Linked DNA regions of Neurospora crassa OR74A. The protein of the gene in region 2 interacts with the protein of the main gene of each other region in a pairwise test. Links are inferred from orthologs where the notes say so. Each region holds a gene or a part of one and is shown on either strand. Other genes may lie near its edges.

Evidence for each region.
Region 1: the proteins of NCU02758 (region 2) and NCU02420 interact in a two-hybrid assay, tested with the Schizosaccharomyces pombe proteins (2 studies listed by BioGRID). The link is inferred for Neurospora crassa OR74A from reciprocal best matches to the Schizosaccharomyces pombe genes cdc13 and spg4.

What each region holds. Positions count from the first base shown.
Region 1 is NC_026507.1:2,553,238-2,559,779, reverse strand, and holds the start of NCU02420 (AAA family ATPase), read right to left. Parts: upstream 3,756-6,542; 5' UTR 3,492-3,755; intron 3,483-3,491; exon of another isoform or gene 3,407-3,482; 5' UTR 2,985-3,406; coding exon 2,892-2,984; intron 2,813-2,891; coding exon 523-2,812; intron 424-522; coding exon 203-423; 3' UTR 1-202. Other genes in the region: NCU02421 (hypothetical protein), read right to left, coding at 4,298-6,118, 6,190-6,510.
Region 2 is NC_026501.1:3,455,828-3,462,369, forward strand, and holds NCU02758 (G2/mitotic-specific cyclin-B), read left to right. Parts: upstream 1-3,139; 5' UTR 3,140-3,507; coding exon 3,508-3,519; intron 3,520-3,615; coding exon 3,616-4,899; intron 4,900-4,965; coding exon 4,966-5,104; intron 5,105-5,160; coding exon 5,161-5,273; 3' UTR 5,274-5,461; downstream 5,462-6,542. Other genes in the region: NCU02757 (mitochondrial 54S ribosomal protein RML2), read right to left, coding at 459-563, 628-701, 764-1,736; NCU16375 (hypothetical protein), read left to right, coding at 5,706-6,104.

The sequences.
Region 1 (6,542 bases), on a different chromosome or scaffold from region 2:
CTATTTCCGCTCTGCCCGCTCCTTGCCCTGACAGCTTATAGATACCTATAGTTGTGATGCCTGTCACACTCTTTGATTTGTGTCACCGAGCAATACCCTTCTTCGAAGTGGTTTCTACAGGCTTGCCAGACCCAGACATTACCCATTCCCTGACAGCCTGAGTACCTTACTCTGATTCGTCGCCTCGTGGCCTACTCCCTCACTAACCGCCTCTTTCTCCGAAATCTCTTGCCCAATCTTCATAAAACTTCAGGTTTGCCTTGCTAACGCTAGGCCGAATGGTAGCCAGACTGGTGACGAAATCCTTTAGCTCTATTGGGCGTATTTGGTCCATGGTCGTTTGTAGTAACGCTTCACCTAAAGACCGCAAAGGACCCATGGCCGCATCTTTAGCTAACGCTGTGATATCGGATCCGGAAAATCCTGCGAGGTGCACGTGCTTAGCAAAAGGTACCTGGCGGGCAGCCCGGCCAGGGAGTTAATTGGCTGGCGAAACATTCACGAACGGGTAGCGCCACTTACCATCGGTCATATCCACAAGCTCATTGATATCCTCGTTGGTCAGTGTATGCTTTTGCTGACTGAGGAGCGTTTTGAACTGAATTGCTCTTGTATCAGCTTCGGGAAGTGGGATATACTGTCTCCTCACGAATCGTCGTCTTGCAGCCTCGTCGATAGCCCACGGGAGATTCGTGGCGGCAAGCACCAAGACTCTGTTCACATCATCATCGGTGCCGTTTTCCTTTGTTCCTGTTGCTGCAGGTTCTTTGCCGGCAGCAGCTCTCTGAAGATCACTCCATTGAATGAGGAACTCCGTCTTAATCCTCATCGTGGCCTCGTGTTCCCCAGAGCCAGATCTCTGCGACAGCAGCGAGTCAATCTCATCAACAAAAATGATGCTCGGCGACAATACCTTTGCCAGCGTAAACAGTGCCCTAACAAGTTTCTCTGATTCGCCGAGGTACTTACTTGTCAGACTACTAGCAGAGATGGAGAAGAAGGTAGATTTGGACTCCGTGGCCACTGCGCGCGCCAACATAGTCTTTCCTGTTCCCGGTGGCCCAAAAAGCAGCATGCCTCTGGCCGGCTCGCGAAGACCCCTAAATAGGTCCGGTCGGAGAAAAGGATAAACTACGGTCTCCCGAAGTGCATTTTTGGCTACCTCGAGGCCGGCTATGTCATTCCAGTGAACTTCATCACCCTGAACGACGATTTCGTTTAGAATCTGTTTTGCAGCATGTTCATCAACCCCTGGAGGAAGACGGCGCAATATCTTTGCCTTTTGCTTGTTCCACTTGGCAGCTTCTGACCTTTGTTGAGCCGCCCCATCGTTGCCTTCAGATTCTTGACTTTCGGAGTTGTGGGCCGGTGTATCGGCAACCAGGGAAACATCCCTCTGCTTCAGTATCTGTCTTAGGTGCTGTCTTGTTGTCGGCCGTCGGGGAGTTCCATATTCAGAATCCTCAGAACTTGACGAAATTGGGACTTGTTCAAGCTTTTTGCCCCTTGCCTTAGCGCTCATCCGAGGTGTATCAACATCCTGTGTCGTTGCCGATCTGCCCGACGCAGGCCTTGCCGTGCTTGTTAGGTAAGAAGTTCGGCTGATGGGCTTCCGTTGGGCCAGCGTTGGATCGGACATCTTTCTGTTCGATTTTCTGGTCGTTGTTGCGCTTCCTTTCGCAGAGTATGCAGTGTCTTCCTCATCTGTGTTCCCCGTCGCAGGCAGAGGCCTCCTCCTTGGTGTCTGTAGCGGAGCTGTTCTTAGCCGAAGTCCTTCCCCCCCTTCCAACGGCGAGCGCTCGTTGTTATCCCTCAAAGTCAATGCGTTGAGTGCACTTGATGCGGCAGCAGCGCTGATGGTGAAGGAGGATTGGCGAGTGTGTGTATGCTCATCAGAACGGCGGGGTGCCGATGATTCCGGAGTAGGCCGTGCATGAGGCGGTTTGGATTGGCTCCGAGGACGACCCATGACCAGTCGCCTGGTATGCGTGTCCCATTGCTGCTGCCGGCCTGCCAACGCTGGACTTTGACGTCGCCTTTCCACTAAGTAGGGAGAGGTTGCGGGCGGTACCGAACTCGTCTGATCAGTGGTGCCAATTCCCCCACTATTACCGCTGGCACTCCCTGACGGACTCGATCTTTCTCTTTTCCCAAGATAGCTCCAGGCAAGCGAGGCTGCCTTACTGGCACCAGGGCGTTCTGAAACCGAGGTTGGAGGTGTCTGGCGATGGCTAGTTCTCTTGTCTCCCAAACGTCCGGTCCGCAGGGTTGTGCGCATGGTATGCTTCTCGGGGCTGCGTGTCCCTGACGATGTTCCCTCCTCGAGCGAAGGCCTTGACGCCGACGGTGGTGACGGTAACACTGGTCGTGTGCATGCAAAGGGAAACTCCCCGCCTGGCGTACGCACCTCGGCAGAAGGCCCAGGTGTAGGCATGGTATGTTCTGAGATGGACCTAGACCCTACAAAGGGTCGCTTGGCGGGAGTTGGTCGGGAAAGGTCTGTATAGGTTACGGCTGGGATTGTTCCGTCACCTATCCAGCCCTTGGGGGGTTCTAAAAGGTTCGGCAACGGTGACAAACGTGACGCGGATGGTGTAGCGTCATGCTCGAGAGATTCGAGGCGCGAAAGACGCAGGGCCTCTAGAAGATCAATTCGTTCCTTGCACTGTACCTCGAGTTGCCGAAGACTGTCCACCAGCGCCTTCTCCGTCTCGGAACGTGGGGTGAAGGCTGGCAAGATTTTGTTTGCTTGCTGGTCATAGATTTGCTCGAGTGCCTGTTTCCAGCATCGCATAGCCTCATCCTCATTGCCCTAGATGACCGCGCAAGATTAGCACTTGGTTACTGACAGATGGGAGAAAAGGGTGACGATCACAGAACGTCATACTGACCTGGCCTTCGTAATAGACAGCAGTGGAGCATGTCAGGTAGCTTTCATCATATGTCTTTTGCAAAACTGAAGCGGCTGATCTGTTGCGCAGCATCGTAAGAAGTAAGACGTATACACATCACGGAATGTCTGTGTGCACTTTTCAAAAGGGCGTAGCGGACTTTCGCTCTCCAAGGGCGGCCTAGGTAGACGGGAGTGTCCGGTCAAGAACAGGATCTCAGCAGATGCTGTGGATCGGCCTGTACCCTACAGCTCTACGCGCACAGACGGCATCGCCGTTGCGAAGGATGTTGGAAAATCGGGCGGTCGCAAAACGTCCCGAAGGCAGTTGCCGAATGGAAGAACAGGTCTAACGAAGGGCCCCCAAGGAAGGCTCAGGTCCACGTTTCTTGAGGCGTAGAGGTACCAGCGCGCTTCTGTAGGCCAACCGGAATCCGGAGAGGAGACGTATTGGCGGTGCAACGGGACGTTGACGCAATCAATGTGCGTGGTTGATTCGCGACCAAGACGTGCCAACTAATTGAGTGTCTTGAGGTTAGTATCAAGGTTTTGTATACCAGGTAGGTATCCAGGATCTAAGCTTGCACACCAGTAGACCTACATATAGGATCGATGGTATCTTTGTTTAAGTGTAGTTATCGATGTTGCCTTATGAACGTTGTTGCAACCGCCTGAATGGGACCTACTAGCTCCCTAGCTGAAGACGTAGTGGGGCAATTGGGGCGGGAAGGCGGGGACCTGGCAGCCCGACAGTGGCAGGTACCCAGACCAGGCCTTTCTCGCCTTTTTCGTCTGTTTGTCTGCCTTGGCCCGTTCCACCTGTTTGTTACCTTTTGGCCTCTGGATAGTAACGAACAGGCCCAACCTGAGGGGGAGGCCGATAGCACGACTTGTATCGTTCATCTGAGCTTCCATCGGGACCATCAGCATCCCGTCAGGCGCGGCCCGAAAATGACGTTGATATGCGATATGTACCTATTCTTGGGCATCGGAAATCGGGACGGCCGAATGGGATGCCCCGCACCGCCCAATAGGTATTCAGCAGCTTCCAGATCCTCCTCGTCCGCGGCTCCGCGCTTGAGGGGACTCACAGGGCTGTCGGGATTCAAGCTCAGTCTCATCGCATGCAAGAGTGCTGTCAGTCTTGTATTTCCCTGTAAAGGTACCCAAGTTTGTCACTACTTGAGGGCCGTTTTTCAGTCATACGCCGACGACCACACCAGTGTACACGTACACACTCGACCGGGGTTCTCGGCTCCCGCTACTTCCCAAGGTTTACCTTACCCAGCAGTCCACTATGGTGAGATTTATATGAGATTGAAACTATTTTGACGAGAACATGGCAGACCTGGGTCCCGTCAGTAAAAACCATAGCTGGCTTCTCCTGCCTTCGCCGTTTCGCTCACGCTACGACAATAGCACGCGGATCTCGCTCGATGTCCTTGGGAACAGCGCCCGAAAACTTTGGGAATGTTCTTCGTCGCCGTCCTCCTCAACTCTCCTTTGCTCCTCCAATTCGTCAGCCGACAGCAACATCTCCTCCACATGTTCAAAATCCACGCAGAATCTTTCGGCTGCCTCCTCAATCACACTGCTCGCCAGCTTGGAATCCTGCAGATTCTTGAGCTTTTCCGTTGCATCAATCAGCGCCGATGGCAAGAAATCGTCCAGCTTCTGACTTGACTGTCGCAGTGCTTCAGGTTGAACCTCCTCTAGTGTCGCAACCTTTCCAACATCATCCTTCTTCCGTATGTCTAGCCCATCCAGCGCTTCAATGAGGGAATCTAAACCGGACTCGGCCCTAAACAGCTCGTACTGTGCAATAACCAACCGAGCCTTTTCCTCCTCAATTTTGGTCTGTATATCTGCAGCATATTTGCGAACAAAAGTGAAGCCGGAGAGCGTTGTCCGCGCAGCCACGAAGCAGTTGATCAGGAAGATGGATTTGGACGGCGGGGTGGCATGGTTGGCCATATTGATGCAGCCAGCCATGAATGGGTCGAATGCCTCAGCCATGATGGACGCGAACTCTGCTTCTGGATCATCACCCGATGAGCTTAGTGACGTTTCGTACGTTTTCATGATTGCCGATAGCTGTTCCAACGCATCCGTAAGGAAGTCGGGAGGCCGAAGGTCTGGTGGAGTGTGCTGGAACTCAGTTTGGAGAGTGGCGACGTGGTCCCGAGCCAGAGATCGGAATTGGCGCAATGCTTCCGTTTCGAGGGTACCCATCGCTTCAACGAGAATCGACGCCGGGCCCACCAACCTGGAGAAGGTGCTCTTATAAAAGTTGATGAGGTTCGCAAGTTTGAAGGCCAGAATGGTCTCCTCGTTCGTCTGAATAACCTGTTCGACCCTCTGTCGCAATATGCGGACTGCACCAGACATGTCTCTATCTACTAGTTGGTTCAGGGCCACGACAGGATCGAAGATATTCATTTCCTCCCCATCCTCGGCCACGAGCCGCCAGACTTCAGCCTCTCTGCCCACCTGGATGCCTTTGGCGATCTCGTCACCCTCGGATATGAACAAGACTTCGAGTGCCTCTCTTTCGCCCACTGCGGCCGAGTGAGACCAGGCGAGCATGTCCCCCACATATCTCAAGGGGTCATGTGCTACTAGCTCAATGGGCTTAACCGAAGGGTCCTCCAGTCCAGCAGCCGAGCTGCCTGTCAAGGCAGTGTAGAAAGCCTCGGAAAGGACGTGCTCGCGGGCTTCGGCGAAGAAATCTAAACAGTTTTGGAAAAGGGTAGGTCTCTCGGCCAGGACGCGGAGAGCTCGACGGATGGCCGAGCCAATTTGGGGGTTCTCAAGATTCAGCGATTTAAACTCCCTCTGGATCCATCGGTAAAGCTTCTGGAACCCGTGATTCAAGTTCCGTGTGACCTGCTCCATGATGCCCAGCCCTAGCGTCTGATCCTCAAAGCCCAAGAGAACCTCGCAGTCACGGCTGATCTTTTTGGCCTTGGCGAGGACTGTGAAAAAGAGGTCGTCTACAGGCTCCGAGGTCAAGGTCAAGGCGTCAACTTCGTCCTGTGTGAGAATGAAGTGGGTCTTGAAGGTCGAGAGCAACTTTTGCTTGCTTTCGATCTGCCGCTTCTGCGTCATGAGTTGCGAGGCTTCGCCCAAGGTGGATGCGGTGGATGCGTGAGCTGCATGGATCTGTGTTCTCATATCATTATAGCTTTCGTTGAGCTTGCCGATGGTGTAGCCGATGCGTTTGAGTTGCTAAAAGTGTATCAGTGTGCGGCTCACTCGCCTGTGATCAGGACTCGAGTGGTATGAACAACAACACATACCTCGGCGACTTTGCCGAATTCATGAATGATCTCTCCATTGCTGTCGATGACTTCTTTCTGGAGATCCAATCGAAGCTTGCGACGGTTCTCTGCTACGTTCTGAAGCCCTCGTTCATCAAGCAAGAAAAGGGCCTCACGGAACTCGGTGTCGGCATACGAGGTAGACAAGACGCTGGCGATCTTGGAGGAGAGGGCACTTGTACCCGCACCCTTGGTCGATGCTGGAGTCAAGGGGCCTGTTGGCGACAAGAGCTCCGAACTGTCTCGCGGCGACAGTACCAAAGACCGTACCGGAGGCGCGGATGTCGAACCTGTGAGCATGATTCCAAGCTTATCAGGAGCGGGAATTCTTG
Region 2 (6,542 bases):
AAAAAAAAAAAAAAAAAAAAAAAAAAAAAAAAAAAAAAAAAAGGGAAAAAAAAATTTTTTAATTTTTTTAGGAAAATTAAACAAATTTTATAAGTAAATAAATCAATAAAAAATTTGTTAAGTTGGGGTCGGTATATGACAACGGAGTCTAACAAACCCCATGTGTAGTCTTTGGTACATTCCTGAAGTCGTATGCCGATTTATAGGCACAGTCACGGCCTTGGCCGGGCCCTGAACCACATCGCCGTAGAGTTGCTCAGTTGAAAGTGGAAAACAAAGACAAACACGGCAGATCTCCAACAGACGATGTTATTGGGCCCAATACCCACACATGGCATCCTTCCGGTGATATACTGAGCCCTCGAACTGCCGGCCTGCGAGCAAATGAATAAGTTTCACTACATATTGTACAAGATGGTGGGTATATAGCCCAAGTTGAGCACAGTGGGTTATTTTATTCATGTAGTCTTCTTGTTCCTCCGGACTCCCATGTTGCGGACCCGGGGGGTAACCACCCACTTGTTGACGTTGGACTTTCTGCGAGTCTTGTAACCACCTTTGGCCTACAGAAAAAGAGGGTAAGGCGTCTGTTCAGAGGAAGGAAGGAAATAAAGGGGCATGACTTACAGGTGTACCCCAAGGAGAAACAGGGTGCCTATTACCCTTCGACTTACCACGACCACCACCGTGAGGATGGTCATCTACCAGGCCGTTAGTTGGTTTTGCTCGCTTGACAAACGGATTGTTCTGGGAGTCTACTCACTTGCGTTCATCGCCAAACCTCTCACAGTAGGCCTAATGTTGAGCCAACGGCTTCTACCGGCCTTGCCCAGTTGTCTGTAGTGATGCATAATGTTGCTGGCAATACCAACGGTGGCGCAAGCGTCCTTGCTGACCCTTCTGATTTCTCCGCTCTGCAGTCTTACGTTGACGAACTTGCCCGTCATAACCTTTGTACCATCCTCACGGGTCTCCTCCTCTTTGGAAATAATGGTTGCATATGTTCCGGCACTGCGGCAGAAAACAGCCTTGCCATCCGGACGGGAGCCAACGCAATAGATCTGGGTTCCAACCGGAATCATGGACACAGGCAAGCAGTTGCCTCTCCAGCATGTCCTCGCAGCCAGAATACCAGGATCAACGACACCACCCATAGAATCGAGCAGGTCCTGGGGAAGACCGGACCGGTAGCTCTGCACAACGTCTCCAGCCCTCATACCATCCGCCGCAACAATATAGCTCTTCCTCCCTGTGGCCTCTTCCTTCACCAGCGCAATGTGCGCGCTGCGACCGGGATCGTACTCAATGCGCAGGACTGTGTGCGGACCGGGGATCCATCGTTCAAAGTCGACCATGCGGATTCTTCGCTTGTGACCACCACCGCGATGTCTGACGGTGACGCGACCACTGTGATTACGGCCACCCTTAGATTGACCCTTCTTGGGAAAGGTAAGAGGAAGATACGGCCGGCCCTTCCACAGGTGGTCGTTGATCGGGCGCTTCAAGTGACGGATACCGGGCGTGTGCGGCTTGTAGGTTCTCATCATGCCGGCGTCCCGGACGTAGGGAGTGACGATCTTGGCTTTGGCATCTTTGCTGGTGTTGCTGGTGCTGGTGCTGCTTGCTGATTGTGTGGCGGCCTTGGTGGCATAGCATCTGGCGACGGTGCGGCCCAGCACGGTTTGGGCAAAGGAAGCTGTCCCCGCAAGGAGGGGTCGGAATTGAGGCTGCAGCATGGCTGCTCGATCGCTGTCGGATATCCCAAGCTCCTGGCGGTGAGCTCTGGGGAGGTGAGGGTGCTGGAGGGGACAGTTGCTGCGATTTCCAGCAACCGGAATGCGACGTCCTCGCAGGCTGCTCGTCGAGGTTCTCGTCGCCGGCTTGTCGTCGATAACTGCTTGTGGAAAATTGCTCGGCTGATGCGCCAATCACAGCCGTGCATTGGTTTGCGATCCCTGACGATTGTGGCTGCTAATAGTGTGGCTTGTGTGGTGCAGCCACTGCCCTTTGGTGAAGAGCCTTGTTTCTTTCCAGGGGACAAGTGCTGCAAACAGCGCTCCAAAACGCGGGCGCGGGAGGAAGGCACCAAGTCATCACCGCGTGAAGGTGCAGTGCGGCGCGGGGAAAGAGCGTGCATCGTGCTCCATTCCTGCCCGCCCAAGGTTCCAGTCGCGTCTGACCCAGGATAGGTAAGGTACCTTAGTGTTGACAGCTGCTGGACACGCGCAGCCTGTTGGACAGTTTAAACCAATCAGAAGCTGATTTGACCGAATTGCCCTGCGGTTGCCAGTGTTGCCCTGACGGCGGGCGGATGACAGCAAGGGAGGGACGTGGCCTGTGGTGGCCTTGCCGCCTTCAGTTCCTTCACTGCGTGTTTGAGGTGCGACCCTTCTTTGTCCCTTCTGCTTGCAGTGCTCCATAACAGCGCCCGGCCCAAGTACAATTTCCTGGCCGCTTTCTCGACTCCGGATTCTGCAACTCGACACTCACCATCCGACTAACAACCATTTCCCTGGACGCACGACAATCGACTTTCAGCTACAGCAACAACAGCAACTTTCGACTCCGGCCATTGAAGCCTGCATTTCTTCGGCAGTACAACCTTTTCGACTTGCTTATTCGACAACGGCATCCTCATCATTCGACAACTTAGCAAGGCAGGGAACAGCAAGACGTGCGTCTGACAGAAGCCCATATTGCACGGCGCGTCATCACTTGTTGTGGTAATTTTGTTCCCTTTCCGGTGTCTTGGACTTCAAAGCTTCAAAGCCTCGCTGCACTAGTGACCTCGAAGGGCACTAGAGGTACTTTGCCCCAGTCCCAGCACGTCCGATCCGGTACCTGGGTGGGTGTCCACACGCCCGCTCCGTCCACTGGCACTCCAGCCCCATCCACTGGGCTGCACTGGCACTGGCACCTCCACCAAGACCTCGCAAAAACAAGACTCCCATTCTTCTCTGCCTCGTAAACATCATACCTCCCTTTCCCGTCCGCCAACTAGCATTCCCACTCCGCATCACCTGGACTCGCAAGGCCTTGCCATCACGACGGCAACCCTTGGCCTCGATCAGTCAATCTTTCCGGACGTCGCCATTGCGTGCTTTGCCCCGACCGTCGTCACCAATTGGGCAACATTCCCGATCAACAACAGCACATCCTTCACGGTCTCAGCCAACCTTCTGTTGCGGGACCCAGGGTTGATCTCCGGCTTCAACAACGTGCCGACAGCGACATCACTGCCGACCGCCGGTGTTCATTCTTCCCGACATCTTTGGGCTCTGTAGTCGGTGCGTCTAGTCTCATTGACTGTCCGTGTTCACAATTCCCTCGTCGTTCGCTCGTCGTTCGCGTCAACCCTCCCTCCGTGACAGGGATCGGTCTTTCAATAAGAACCAGTCTCTCCACCTCGAACTTCGCCAAAAACGAAACATCCAAATAGCTAGCTGACCTCCCCGTCAGTAGACACATTTCACATCAATTTCTGTGCCAGCATAGGTTTAGGCGAGAATGCCGAATCTTGTAAGTTTTACTGCACAGTTGGCATTGTCGTTCAATCATGCAATTGGTTGTCCACAGCCATGCTATGTTTGTACTAACTCAACCCCAACCCTGCAGCGGACGAGGAACCCGCGTTCACTCGCGAACGAAAATGACGAGAACAGTACAGCAACCACGACACGTATGACGAGGGCCAAGGCGGCCACTCTCCATGTCGACGAATTGTCCATGCCCGCGAAAACCATGCAGACCAAAAAGACGACGATTTCGACAACCACCGCCGCCACTGCCGCTCGCACTGTCGGTAAGCGGAATGCACTGGGCGACGTCAGCAATGTCACCAAGGTTGAAGTTGCGGGAACGAAGAAAGCGATTGCGAAGCCCGGCCTAGTTTCGAAGGCGGCCCAGCCGAGTGGCATCCAGAAGAAGACCACAACTGCTACGAGCCGTACTGCGACTACTGCCCGCCGTGCGTTATCCAACAAAGAGCCCAACAAGACGGTCGGCCCCAGTGCTGGTGCTGGCACCATTCCCGCCAAGCGCAAGCCTCCTCCGTCCACATCCAAGCTCGCCCCTATCAAGGAATCAGCACCTGTTGAAAATGAACCGGCCCGCAAGAAGATCCACGTCGAAGAGCCCGAGAAGAAGAAGGTTTCCAGGACTGAGGCCAAGGAGAACGATGCTCCCTCCAAGGCTGTGAAGCCGATGGCCGAGCCCCCCGCTCCCGTCGTCCGCGATGTCGTCCCTGTTCAGTCAGTGTATCCGCCAGGTGTTAAGGACCTTGACACTGAAGACCTCGAGGATCCTCTTATGGTTGCCGAGTATGCGACGGAAATTTTCGAGTACCTCCGCGACCTCGAGTGCAAATCAGTGCCGAACCCTCAGTACATGAGCCACCAGGACGACCTCGAGTGGAAGACTCGTGGCATTCTCATCGACTGGCTCATTGAAGTTCATACTCGGTTTCATCTGCTGCCCGAGACGCTGTTCCTTGCCGTTAACATCATCGATCGTTTTTTGAGCGAAAAGGTCGTCCAGCTCGATCGTCTTCAGCTCGTGGGTATCACTGCAATGTTTGTTGCCTCCAAGTACGAGGAGGTCCTCTCCCCCCATATTGCCAACTTTCGCCACGTTGCAGATGACGGCTTTACTGAAGCTGAGATCCTCAGTGCTGAGCGTTTCATTCTATCGACCCTCAACTACGACCTTAGCTACCCCAACCCTATGAACTTTCTCCGCCGCATCTCCAAGGCAGACAACTACGATATTCAATCCCGTACCCTTGGCAAGTACCTGATGGAGATCAGCTTGCTGGACCATCGCTTCATGCCTTACCGTCCCAGCCATGTCGCTGCTGCTGCTATGTACTTGGCACGATTGATCCTTGGCCGCGGAGAATGGGTAAGTTATACAGATGGATTTATAATACTCGCCATATCATCCTGTGGCTAATACTCATAATAACAGGACAAGACTATCGCCTACTATGCTGGCTATACCGAGGAGGAGATCGAGCCTGTATTCCATCTCATGGTTGACTATCTGGCCCGTCCCGTTATTCATGAAGCATTCTTCAAGAAGTATGGCAGCAAGAAGTTCCTCAAAGGTATGTCAAACAACCGGCCTTGCTTGTCTCGTAATCTTATTCTGACATCTTCTCAGCCTCCATCCTTACTCGGCAGTGGGCCAAGAAGAACGCTGTTCTCTATGGCGTTGTTGACGCCGAGATCCCACTTGACAAGCTCAAGGACCGCCCCGTTGACCAGCTGCCTTAAGCTTGTTTGGGTGCAGCTGCGTTCACGGGCTAGCATTTGGGTTCTGGCCCATACAATGTTCTCAAAAGAGGCTACGATGCGGTTGGATCTCGCTAGCGCTTGACGACATATCATGAAGTTATAGATGACGGTATGCCTTTTGTCTCTGAACCCAATGGAGACCGCGTTCGTCCAATTTTCCTATTCTCTCTCTCAAAAAAAAAAGCATCCTATTACCTGCTTGATGCACAGGGAACCGGCTCTAGGAAACACGGCGAGGGTTAATCACCTGGTCCGCGCCGACGGGCTGGCTTTTGTTTTTCCTTCATCTTTCCGGCATGGCAGGTTTTTGTTTTGCACTGCTCCTTATTTACACGCTCAAACTTTTCTTTGCGGTGGCGCCAGGTGTCAAGGGAAATCAGGGAGAGAGGCGTAGAGGTATCTCTTTATTTCATGTTCCTCCGTGCAGAGGGCCTCAAAGGTATGGTTAGGTTGCGGTTTCTCATTGTTTACCCCCCCCCACGGTTCGGCACGGAATTTATCATTACTGTTCTATTGCTGCTGCTCTCTCCAGATATCGGATTCTGCGCACAATCAAGCTCGGTGCATGGTGTGAATGATACAAGGAGAGAAGATGTATGTCAGTTACTGTGTGGTCGTTATGAAGAAACGGCTTTAGCGAAAGAGAAAACAACAAAAACGGTGATCCACTGGGAGGCAATGAACGCATGTCGTGGGAAGGTTGGGGAAAAGTACTACTGTACATACATACATTCTGACGGATTACAAAGTCCTCATCTGAATGGACTGATTTTCAGTTCGAGGCACACGGAATGGGAAGCATATGCATGAAGCAAGTGCCTGAGCAAATGTGATTCTTCCTTGTGGCTGTATTGATGATGAATGTGAGGTGTTCTCAGGATGGAATGGATCAAGGTTCTAGTGTATACAGTAGCGATACCCCAGACTTTATCGAGGACAGATGATGATGATTGAACAATAATGTTAGCGTATTCGTAATTAGTCAAACGGAGGAGAAGGCCAGATGTCCAGTCGAGGCTGTAGTTGTGAGTGTCCTTACCAGTTGGGGGGGGGGGGGGGGGGGGGGGGGTGGCATTCCAAAGCCAAGCAGGCTCTAAACTGAAACTATTCTGGCCGGTTCGGAGATTGTCTCATTCCAGTGCAATGAAAATGCTTCTATTATTGCTTGAAGACTACTGGGCAGGTTAAAGTACAGAGTTTTGGGGACTATTTTGAGGAACACTCGACTCCAACCCTCCAAATCCAACC